3 linked regions of the Rattus norvegicus genome follow. The protein of the gene in region 2 purifies or fractionates together with the protein of the main gene of each other region. This does not show direct contact. Links are inferred from orthologs where the notes say so. Each region holds a gene or a part of one and is shown on either strand. Other genes may lie near its edges.

Region 1 (3,648 bases), on a different chromosome or scaffold from region 2:
TGATGCAACCCAACAGCCTGCGATCATCTTTCCAACACTCCTCACTGTGGGGCTGAGCTAACAGGCAACTGCCACACCATCCTTGTGTTAGACACAGGAAGGTGGAACGAGCAACTACAAGCTCCCGCTCCCAGGTGTGAGCTTTCCTCGGGCCCTGCTTGCTCCTATCGGCAGACATGAAGCTCTGTGGAAGAAACTGCTGGCGGGATGGCGGGTGTCTGTCACGAAGCTCAATTTGCTCCATCCCTCCACACTCACTTTTGCATAGGGCTCAGCTCCACACGCACAATCAGTTCTGTCTTGGAGGGCATGTTCTTGAAGACATCAGCTTTGAGCCGCCGCAACATGTGAGGCCCCAGCATGTCGTGTAGTTTCTTAATCTGGTCCTCTTTGGCGATGTCAGCAAACTCTTCCAAGAAGCCTTCTAAATTGCTTCAGGGGGAAAAGAGTTGTTAGAGAAAAAGAAAAAAGGAAGAAAGGAAAGTAACACGGGAAGTGAGCAACAAGAAGAACAAACATATAGCTAGGAACAGACAGACAGACAGACAGACAGACAGACAGACAGACAGACAGCCACACTTACTGGAACCTCTCGGGGGTGAGAAAGTTGAGCAGATGGAACAATTCCTCTAGATTGTTTTGTAATGGAGTTCCAGTTAGCAACAGCTTGTGTTGGAGTGAGTAACCGTTCAAAACTCGGAAGAACTGGTGAAGAGAAATGAAATTCAAGAAACGAAGGCACCAGAGCACCAGAAAAATCCCAAGCTGTTTCACTGTCCAGTGAATTAAAGCCTCTCATCCCATGGCTGGCATCCTTAAATGCCTGGCCAAAGAAGGGGCTACCAACGGTCAAGAAGAAAATAAAGACCACTTTCCCCTCTTCTCTACTTAGGCTTCTTTCAAAAAGATGACTCTCCCAAGGGACTAGGACTAGAGGCTCTCACCTCCCACTCCTCACCTTAGACTGGTTGTTCTTCAGCCGGTGGGCTTCATCCACAATGAGGCAGGCCCAGTCAATAGAACCCAAGATGGCCATATCAATGGTGATCAACTCATAGGATGTCAGCAGAACATGGAATTTCACAGATGCTTCTTTCTGCACATAACGATAAGCCGGTTACTCACTACTGGTCCACTCCTCAGCACAACTGGGACAAGCAAGCTTTCCCTGCTCCCCAAGTTCTCTTTCTGCCTCACTCAGAGACCTGGTAAGGCAGCAAAGCAGCCCACAGCAGTGACTCCCTGTCAAGTTTCCTCTTCCCTCCCACTGAAATACCTTCATTCGGGAGGCTTTCTTGCCACCACGAATGGCATTATCTTCAAAGGAGAACTCATTTTCCCGGATGATGGCACGGCTGTCCTTGTCACCCACATAGGTCACCACATACATATCAGGAGCCCACATCTCAAACTCTCGCTCCCAGTTGATGATGGTGGACAGAGGCGCGCTCACTAAGAAGGGGCCTTTGGAGTGACCCTGGAAGGAAACAGGCAGAGTCAGGGCTAAGAGCCCCCTCCCTGAACCCCAGACTCCCCCTCCTCCCTGACCCACAGTGAAGCTGACACTGGACACCTGTGCCTCTGACGCCCCTTCATCTGTTACAAACACCATTCACCCCTCTTCCCAAAAGGCAGTTGCCCACCTTGACAAAACCAAACTCCTCCACCTACACAAGAATTTCCTACCACTAAGGCCTTTTACCTCCAGGCACTCAGCCTACCAGGGCTCTGATCCTGCAAAATCTCCACTGTAGGATCTAGAAAGTGGCTCACTGTTTAAAAGCACTAGCTGCTTTGCATAGGTCCCACGTCCAGATCCCAGCACCCACATGATGGCTTATAGTCTGTAATTACAGTTTAAAGAGGTGACCCCTCTTCTGGCCTCCCCAGGTACTGCACATAGGTGGTGCACAGCCATACTTATGGACAACATACCCACACAAAGTAATTAGAAAAAGAAAAGAAAAAAGGATTTGTACTACAGAGCTGTCTCTTCCTATCCCTCTGCAGTATTTCTTTCTCCCTTCCTCCCACTCCTTAAAACACAAGAAAATATAGTCACAAAATACCCACTCCAGACACTAGCGTCTCCCAGCCTCTTTACCTCCTTGTACAGGGAATAGAGGAAGACTGCTGTCTGCACAGTTTTCCCAAGGCCCATTTCATCAGCCAGGATGGTATCGGTACCCTGAGCCCAGGAGAAGCGTAGCCAGTTTAAGCCTTCCATTTGGTAGGGGTGCAGGGTTCCACCTGTGGCATCCAGGTACTCCGGCTGTCGCTCATACTTCACTGTGGGCTGAAGGAGAAGAGAGGTCAAAAGCTGGTAAAGAACCCCCTTCCTGGAAGACTGCTTCCTCCTACACGAGTCCTAGTGGATCTTTTTTTTTTCCTGAGAGCTAAGAGAAACAAAACAAAATAGCCCTTAGGGAAATAAGGCATGGTAAGACCCCCTTTTAACCCTAGTACTTAGGCTGAGATAGAAGGATTGAGTTCAAGACTAGTCTTTGGATCAGGATATACCGTCTCAAAATGTAACAATAAAGAATTTAGTTGCCTTGGAGTTGCCACAGAATCCACCAGGCCATAATGGACAGATCAGATCCAAACCAATGGTCACAGAGAGTCCCAGTTAAATCCAGTGGGTCCCAGACCAAAAAGGCATGAATGTGGGAAAGAGATCTGCAGGGAAGGAAGAATGGGGTGGCTAAAGGAAGGAGGGAGGAAAGAGGGGGCACAGGGACAGTAAGCAGAAAGAACTGTGGACATGTGTGAGCCTCAATACACTTGGGAAAAGGGAGTGATGGGATCCTCACTGTCACTGCAGCATGTGCCTTAGCATCCTTCAGAGGACAAGGCAGCTTATCTAGGCCTCAGGGAGACCTGACACAGACCACTATTCAAAACATGCAAGGCAAAGAAAGGCTCCGGTGTGCCAGGACACTAACTGCTGTCATCGTTAAGACCAGCCAGGTAGAGGCTGGCGCACGTAAGCAATCAAAGCACTTAGGAGGCGGAGACAGGAAATCAGAAGTTAAAAGTCAGCCTGAGCTATATGAGACCTTGCCTTTCTCAAATACATACATGCATACGTTTGTACGCACGCACACGCACACATACACAAGCCCCTTGTATATAAGACCACCTCCTAGTGAACACTGTCCTAACATAAAATATCCCATCTGTGGGTTTTTCCTGATGCTTTCTGAGAGGACAATCTAGATCGTCTCAGCTAGAGTCATCTACAGGTCCTGGAGCTTCACCATGACACTGCAGCGTACTGCCCACACAACAAATACACCATTCCTCTTCCACCCAAACTCACATCAACAGTTGGGGTCTCCGGAGGCCTTTCCAGTTTCCGTAATTTCACCTTCTTAAGCTTCTTGCCAGGTCGCCCTTCCTCACCCCTCATTAACTCCCTAGGAGAGAAAACGGCAGAGCTGCCTCTCGGTCCTTCTGAAGGAGAGCAGTTCCCCTCTTCACAGTCACCTACCTGTGGTTCCAGTAGCTCTGCTTGAACAGGTCGTAGTCCTGTATCTCCACATCCTCACTCTCCCAAGACGCCTGATCGTAGGGTAAGTCTCGCCACTTTATTAAATAGTGAACGTGGCCCTTCTTGTCCACACTATGATGTCAATAAAGAAAAAC
Region 2 (3,648 bases):
TGTGCTGCAAAGGTGGAATTCAGGGTTTGAGCTAGATGCAAATAAGAAACACTTTCTTCCCGTATGAGTAATTGTCCACGCTCTGATGATGCTAGAAGCTGGTCCAACCCAGCTTCAAGTTTAAATCTTAACCTGACTCTACCAACGTGGTTCCTTCTTTAATTGGCATATTTCTCCTCTGCAAAACTGAACCCATGGAAAAGAGAAATGAAATATGGATGTGATCAGTGAATTGTGGACTTGCCACAGTGTACAGTGACAGTGGATCTGTACAGAAACTGGGCTTCTAAATCCAGTAAAGTGGCCGTGAAGTTGTAACTGGATGAAAATAAAATTGTCTACGGAAATATTTAAGACACGAGTATCTTGTCAATTGTGGACAGTCACCTTGGTTTTTATGGAGATACTGATTGCATTTATACCGAAACAGCGGAGGATTAGTGTAATGTCTGAAGTCAAGCAAAGGAATGTAATGTCACTGTCATGTTTTCTATGTTGTGTCATGGAATCCAGGTAGGATAAAAATTAGTGCATATTAGGTCAGAGCTGAGTGAAGCCTACTGAGAAGGATTAAAGGTGTGTGGTGTATCCATTTGTATCCAAGAACCAGTCTCCTGTGTGTCCTCTGAGCTAGTAGGACCCAACTGTAGACTCATACCCACCTTTTCTAAGCATGCATCTGAAGTACTCCCAGGGCTGCTAGCATGATTGTGCGTCATCAGACCATATGTGCTCGTGAGACACAAATACAACATTTCCTTTGTTTCTGAGAGTGACTGTGTTTATATTCCATATATTCCTCTTGTCTGTGAAAGTATACTAATAAATATGTATTTCAAATAGGTCCAAACTACAGAGAAATGAAAATCGAGATATCAGTGAAGTCATTGCTCTTGGTGTGCCCAATCCTCGAACTTCCAATGAAGTCCAGTATGACCAAAGGCTCTTCAACCAGTCCAAGGTATGAGGAACTTAGAAAACACCTTTATCTAGTGTGTTCTTCTTAGTTAGGGTTTCTATTGCTGTGACAAAACACTATAACTAAAAAGCAAGTTGGGAAGGAAAGGTTTGTTTTAAAGGCTTACACTTCCGTATTGCTGTGAATTGACGCTAGTAAGTGTAATGTTAGCTCTTCCTGGGAATAACTTGTGACTTAATGGTTTGAGAATTAGAGATAGCAGTAAGATCTTCCAAGCAACAATGCATTGTTTGATACTTTTTATATTTCTGGCATTGTTCCAAGTCTATTCATTTCAGTCCTTCAGAAAAAATGGAGGGGAGGGGGACAAACAACATATGAAGGCGGACAATTGGTTTTTGGGGGAAGGTTCGTTCTTTATTTTTCCTATTTTTCCATTTTCATTCGTATGCATGTTTGCATGTGTAGGCAGTATGTGTACATGCATATGTTTATGTTGGAAATTGATGTTGGGAATTGTCTTTATCACTCTGCCTTCCACATTATTCACTGAGGCAGATCTCTCAGTCCATCCCAGAACTCACTGATAGAATTACCCAGCCTGCTCTGAGATTTCCTGTCTGCATCTTCAGAGAATGGAGTTACGCAAGCTTCCACACCCACCTATCATTTACATGGGTCCTAGGAATCCAAGCCTGGGCCCTCATGTTTATGTAGAAACTGCTTTAACACTGAACTGTCTCTGCAGCACCCACCCTATTACCTCTCATGGATAATTAAGACAGGATCGAGTCATTGATGGAACTGAGATTCAACCTTGAATGCTTTGATGCCAAAGCTTCTTTCATAACTGCTTTGCAGCATCAGCCAGACTGAGCAGGAGTTGGGGTGGAGGCGCCACAGGAGTAAATCTTTCACAGCAGCCATCTCTTCTGACCTTGAGCTTAAACCTTTTAAAAGCTGAGTTAAAGTTTTTAAGATTTTCATTGAGGACCTTATGATCTTGTGCTTTAATTAATACTGACATTCTCAGGCAGTTGAGGTAACTTTTCTCAGCATCATTATCCAGTACCCACAATACAATCCTTCAATTTTAATGACATTTTTAGTTGATTTTCTTTTTCTTTTTTTCCTGAGGACTTCATACAATTGAATTTTACCATATTCACTCTCCTCCACCTGCTCCCAGATCCACCCCTCCTTCTCTACACAGCCAACTTTCTGTCTTGTTTTTCTTGGATTGGGGTTTTTATTTGTTCTTCAGTTTTGGGTTTTGAAGATGGGTTCTAGGTGTATCCTTGCTGTCCTGAATTCACTTTGTAAACCAGATCTGCCTGCCTCTGCTTGTGAGTGTTGGGATTAAAGCTATGCGTCACCACGCCTAGCCATTGTCTTTTATTTTTGGTTAGTCAGAACTTTGCTGTCGTGTGAGACCGGGAATGTTATATAGCTCTGGCTGTCTTAGAACGTGATATTCAGACTGGCAGAGACTCACCTGCTTGCCTCATTAGTGCTGGGATTAACCTAATCTAATGAATACTCTGATTTAATTTTAGTTTCTAAGTAAGAACTCAAATGTGTATAAACAACTGTATACTTACTATTTTACATAAATATTGTAGTTGCGATTTCTTAATTAGCTGTAAACGTGTGTCTATTAATTCCTAAGCATTTAGATTCAGCTTTGGATAAGTATACATTTTTATTTGGTGTCATTCATTTTTTCCACAGGGTATGGACAGTGGATTTGCAGGTGGAGAAGATGAAATTTACAATGTTTATGATCAAGCCTGGAGAGGTGGCAAAGATATGGCTCAGAGTATCTATAGGCCGAGTAAAAATCTGGACAAGGACATGTATGGCGATGACCTCGAAACCAGGATAAAGACCAACAGGTACCAATGCAGACAGTTGCTGTTCATTCCTGTTTACACCAGCAAAACAGAAATAGTTCATAACTTCTTCTCTTTTCCCCCTAGATTTGTTCCTGATAAAGAGTTTTCAGGTTCAGATGGTAGAAAGAGAGGCCGAGAAGGACCAGTTCAGTTTGAGGAAGATCCTTTTGGTTTGGACAAATTTTTGGAAGAAGCAAAACAGCATGGTGGGTCTAAAAGACCTTCAGATAGCAGTCGCCCCAAGGAACATGAACATGAAGGCAAGAAGCGAAGGAAGGAGTAGATGGGCCTCTTGAAATTAAATCTGACGTATACAGCAGAGGACTGCCTGGTCTGGCCAGAGTGAGAGAAAATGGACCTAACCCTCAAGAGACTTGAGACCACAAAGAATGGGGAAGCCTGGGGGGTGGGGGGTGGGGTGGGGCATCCTCTTGGAGACAGGGGAAGAGGAATTTTTGGAGAGATGATGGGGAGGGGGATAACAACTGGACTGTATTTAAAAAAAAAATTAAAAAAAAAAACAAACCAAATCTGGGTGATAGATCCCAACACTCCTTCCATCCAGGAGATAGAGGCAATGCATATTCTATTTCGCAGTAGTTTTTATAAAGAATGGTCTGTGTTTGTGCCTCTCCAATCTTGCAGCACTTATAAAAAATACTGCCCCTGACAAAATTGAGGCTACTTCCTTGCTAATCCAGGGGTAAAATTTTCTGTAAGAACTTTATGAATTACCCCAAATGGTTAGTAGGTGGATGCTCATACACTCGAACTGTGCTGGCAGATGCATTTGCCCTGTTGGACTCTTCTACTGTGCAGTGGGGAAACCAAGTT
Region 3 (3,748 bases), on a different chromosome or scaffold from region 2:
TAGAACCCGGGAACTCTTCCCCTCCCCCACTCACAGCCACCATCTTCTCCACCAGATTGGCACCACCTCCCACTCTTGAAGGCTGAGCTGAGATGGCCTTGGACCAAGGCTATTGGGCAGGCACCTTTGATGTCGATGAGCTGCTCCTCTGAGAGAGGCTGGTTGTTGATAGGATCTGTGCCATTCTCTGCAATGTACTTCTCAATGAGTCGCCGCTCATACACATGATTAGAGACAGGGGACACGCATGGGTGCTCTGGCACTTCGTTGGAGACTATAGAGAAAGACAGGTAGTGAGCCACAGGGTAAAAGGAGACTCTTCACTGTGTCAGCCCCAACAAGACCCTGTCCTTTATAGTCAGCTATCAGGAAGCAAGGTCTGTGACAGCAAGCCTGCCTGTACTTGGTCCCACAATGCTTGCCAACTACTTACCTAGAATCTCTGGTCTGCTGATAATAAAAGTCAATAAATAATAACTGCCCAGATCCTATGTGCCAGTGCGGTATAGAGTGGTCGATCTCTTTTTTGAACCCAGATGACTAGGCACATGACAGAGAAGTACACAGAGCACAACTCAAACTTCTGTCATCCATCGGGAGCCCGAGATGGATCAACAAGAGAAATTACAAAGCCATGTGACAAGCACTGATAAATTAAAAACAAACAAACAAAAACTTTCCATTGCTCTGCTACTACGTGCCAGGCAGAATTCTATTCTAAGCGCTCGACAGAATAGTCTGTGTACCCTTGAAGATGGGACTTACAGCTGTCACTGACCTCCAGGACAATGCAGAAGCGAAGCACACACTTGATAAACATCAGAGCAGATTAAATAAGTGCAAAAGTACTGGGGCTCAGAAAAGAATATCCCAAAGTATGGAGCCCTGGGCATGCCAAACTACCAAAAAAAAAAAAAAAAAAAAAAAAAAAAAAAAGCCTCAAAAGCAAGAACCAAGGTCTCTCTGACCTTCTCAGACCCCCCTTGCTTCTCTACCTTCCCCTAAAAAAGACAACTGGATCACTCAAGCAGACAAGTGAAAGCTACCTCCACATCAGACTCTTCTGAAGGCCGCTCTAAGATAGTGACTTATCACATCACAAAACAGCTCTTATTCATCACATAATTCTATTCGCCTTCCCATAGGTTGTGAGTCAACAACCCAAGGCTTCAAGCTCCTATCCTTCTCAGTGTCTTCCCTTAGAGTCACTTAATTTTGCAGGACTCCATGCACATGTAATTAAGTATTTGTTTCAGTACTTAAAATCCCTATTTTTGTATATGGCTTTCCTGTCCTATTCTGTAGGTTTATCTCACTACTCAACGACTGAAGCTTTCTGAGAGCTTTCCCTCTCCTACCAGAGGAAGGATGGCCCTGGGCATGTAAGAGTGTTGTTTCAAAGATGAAAAGGAAACAAATCGTTCATAAATACTTTGCAAACTGCTATTTCTTCACTATGAGACTTCCTTTTCTGTTTGTCATTTCCCTCCTTCCTTTCCCTCTTTGAATTAATGGCAACGTTCTGAGAGGGAAAGAGAGAAAGTGAGGAAACTAGTAATGGGGTAAACAACTGGGAGAACACCCGCAATGCCGTAATACAACACCCAAAGACAAGACCATATACTACATGGGAAAACCATGGATCCAGGCTCAAAGAACCGAGCTCCATGGCTTAGTTTCGTCGCACACCCCTGGATAAACCCATTCTTCAAGTCTTCCGACAACCTCTGTAACACACGGATCTTTATTTCCCTTCAGACAATTCTTGTAAGCATAAAATGAGATCACCGTTTGGAAATGCATCGTAAATCAATACAGGTTTTCTAAACATTCGCTGTTTTCATTAGTCATACTGCGCGAGGCTAGAAGCCAGACACCTGGCTTCCAGCCCTGGTCTCGAAGTCACTGCATGATCTCTGCAAATCAGAAACTCCAATTCCTAAGCGAGGTTTCCCAAGCAATATCCATTGCAATGCTTTCAATTTTGCAGGTGGGGAAACTGAGGCCCAAACCCGCTAGAGCCCAGATCACAGTCGGAGGCGGATCCTGGACACGTCCTCGGGTTTTTGACACCAAGAGCTGTTTTTCACTGCACCAGCTCCTCCCCCCACTTCTGCTCAGGCCTGTCTCAGCTCTGTAAAACGACGCTGGCTTCAAAAGACCCCTGAGACAGTCATTCTTCCCAGCTACGTGAATTGCGCATCACTGCGCAAATGCACCCTGCACGCAGGGCCGGGGGCTCTAGGGCCCGAGCCACAGCGGCCGCACACGCTCCCGCCTCCCGCCGCAGCCAGCACTCACTCGAGCAGATCAGGGACATGGCGCCGTCGTAGCGCTGCTGCCAGTCGCCTCACAGCGGGTTCCCGGACTAGCTCTGCAGCCTCCGCGGGCCACTTCCGGTCCCCCGCCGCTTCCGGAGCGCTCGGACGCGGGTAGACAGCTGCCCGGCGTGGCGATGCTCGCACAACTGCTTCACGTGGGGAGGTGGCCGGTGGCGCGCCTCAGCCTTCTGCAGCTAACGGAAACTGCCCTTTCCCAGCATGCAACCGAGCAGGAAAAGGCCCGCCTCGGAACACTCGGCTGTTTCCGCATTGGCTCGGCTTCTTCCGGCGAGTTTTCCAAGAGGCCTGAGGCGGGAAGGAGAGCAGAAACTACATTTCCCATGAGGCTGCGGGGATCTTAAACCTAGGAATCTGGCCAAGGCTGTTTTTGAGGCGGAGCTGCTGTCACCCAGGGAACACTAGTCTTTGAAATGTTCGTGTGCAGGACAGATTTCTCAGGAGCTTGTAAAAATGCAGATTCCTAGGGTCTGCCTTAGAGAGTCTGTAGGTATGATTCTGAGCCTGTGTTCCTTGGCTGCCTTTTGAGAAACAATGTGACCCCGTAAATAAAGCACAAATGAGTAAAGAAGCTAACACTGTCTAGGTTCTGTCTCTACTCTTGCTCTGGGAATTTGGGCAAGTCCCTGGCTTCGTTGCCTGCTACGTTTTAAATATAGTCTGTTTTCTAAACTCGAGGGAATTTAATTCCTGGCGTTTATGTGAATATTTAAAAGAATGGAAAGTTGATGGGTGTGTTTGCACAAGTCTTTAAGCACAGGCACTGAGCTGCAGAGCCAGGCAGAACTCCGCGTTCAAGTCCAGCCTGATCTGTACAGTGAGTTCTAATCCAGGACAATCAGGGCTGTGTAGAGAAAGCATGTCCCAATAAACAAACAAACCGTAAGAGTGGAAAGTTAACAGGACTATGGTGTTTTTCTGTGGTTTCATTTTTGTTTCTGTTTTTCAAGACAGGGTTTGTGTGTGTGTGTGTGTGTGTGTGTGTGTGTGTGTGTGTGTGTGTGTGTGTGTGTATAGCCCTTGGCTGTCCTGGAACTCAGTCTGTAGACAAGACTTGACTCAAACTCAAAGATCTTCCTGTCTCTGCCTTTTGAGTGCTGAAATCAAAGGGATGTGTCATTACTATCTGGCTTAACTGTGGCATTTAGAGGTGGGATCTTTGGAATTAGAATAGGACATAACAAGAATCCTGGTGGGGTTCTTATAGGAAAGAAAGTGAACAGGCACAAATGCATGAGTTGACTTCCATAGTTGTGACACCAGAAGAGGCCCTAGACATTGCCTGTGTCATTCCCTGTGAACCTTGTGCTTCTAGAACTTTGAGCCAAGAGGGCCCTCTTTTCTTTAAAGTAGCCTGCCTCCGATATTTGTTAGAACAACGGTTCCCCGCCACCTACCAACTGTTTATG

What was found.
Region 1: the proteins of Snw1 (region 2) and Chd4 purify together in Homo sapiens (affinity purification with mass spectrometry; 3 studies listed by BioGRID and IntAct, with this or other methods). This does not show direct contact. The link is inferred for Rattus norvegicus from reciprocal best matches to the Homo sapiens genes SNW1 and CHD4.
Region 3: the proteins of Snw1 (region 2) and Prpf19 purify together in Homo sapiens (affinity purification with mass spectrometry; 3 studies listed by BioGRID and IntAct, counting the BioPlex papers as one, with this or other methods). This does not show direct contact. The link is inferred for Rattus norvegicus from reciprocal best matches to the Homo sapiens genes SNW1 and PRPF19.

What each region holds. Positions count from the first base shown.
Region 1 is NC_086022.1:159,594,765-159,598,412, reverse strand, and holds part of Chd4 (chromodomain-helicase-DNA-binding protein 4), read right to left. Parts: exon of another isoform or gene 3,626-3,648; coding exon 3,494-3,625; exon of another isoform or gene 3,420-3,493; coding exon 3,323-3,419; exon of another isoform or gene 2,297-3,322; coding exon 2,105-2,296; exon of another isoform or gene 1,478-2,104; coding exon 1,277-1,477; exon of another isoform or gene 1,097-1,276; coding exon 959-1,096; exon of another isoform or gene 706-958; coding exon 584-705; exon of another isoform or gene 433-583; coding exon 259-432; exon of another isoform or gene 1-258. UniProt on the Homo sapiens protein: ATP-dependent chromatin-remodeling factor that binds and distorts nucleosomal DNA. Acts as a component of the histone deacetylase NuRD complex which participates in the remodeling of chromatin.
Region 2 is NC_086024.1:112,826,428-112,830,075, reverse strand, and holds part of Snw1 (SNW domain-containing protein 1), read left to right. Parts: intron 1-843; coding exon 844-961; intron 962-1,360; exon of another isoform or gene 1,361-2,650; coding exon 2,651-2,814; exon of another isoform or gene 2,815-2,898; coding exon 2,899-3,097; 3' UTR 3,098-3,648. UniProt on the Homo sapiens protein: Involved in pre-mRNA splicing as component of the spliceosome. As a component of the minor spliceosome, involved in the splicing of U12-type introns in pre-mRNAs.
Region 3 is NC_086019.1:216,965,266-216,969,013, reverse strand, and holds the start of Prpf19 (pre-mRNA-processing factor 19), read right to left. Parts: upstream 2,508-3,748; 5' UTR 2,321-2,507; coding exon 2,302-2,320; intron 275-2,301; coding exon 125-274; intron 1-124. UniProt on the Homo sapiens protein: Ubiquitin-protein ligase which is a core component of several complexes mainly involved pre-mRNA splicing and DNA repair. Required for pre-mRNA splicing as component of the spliceosome.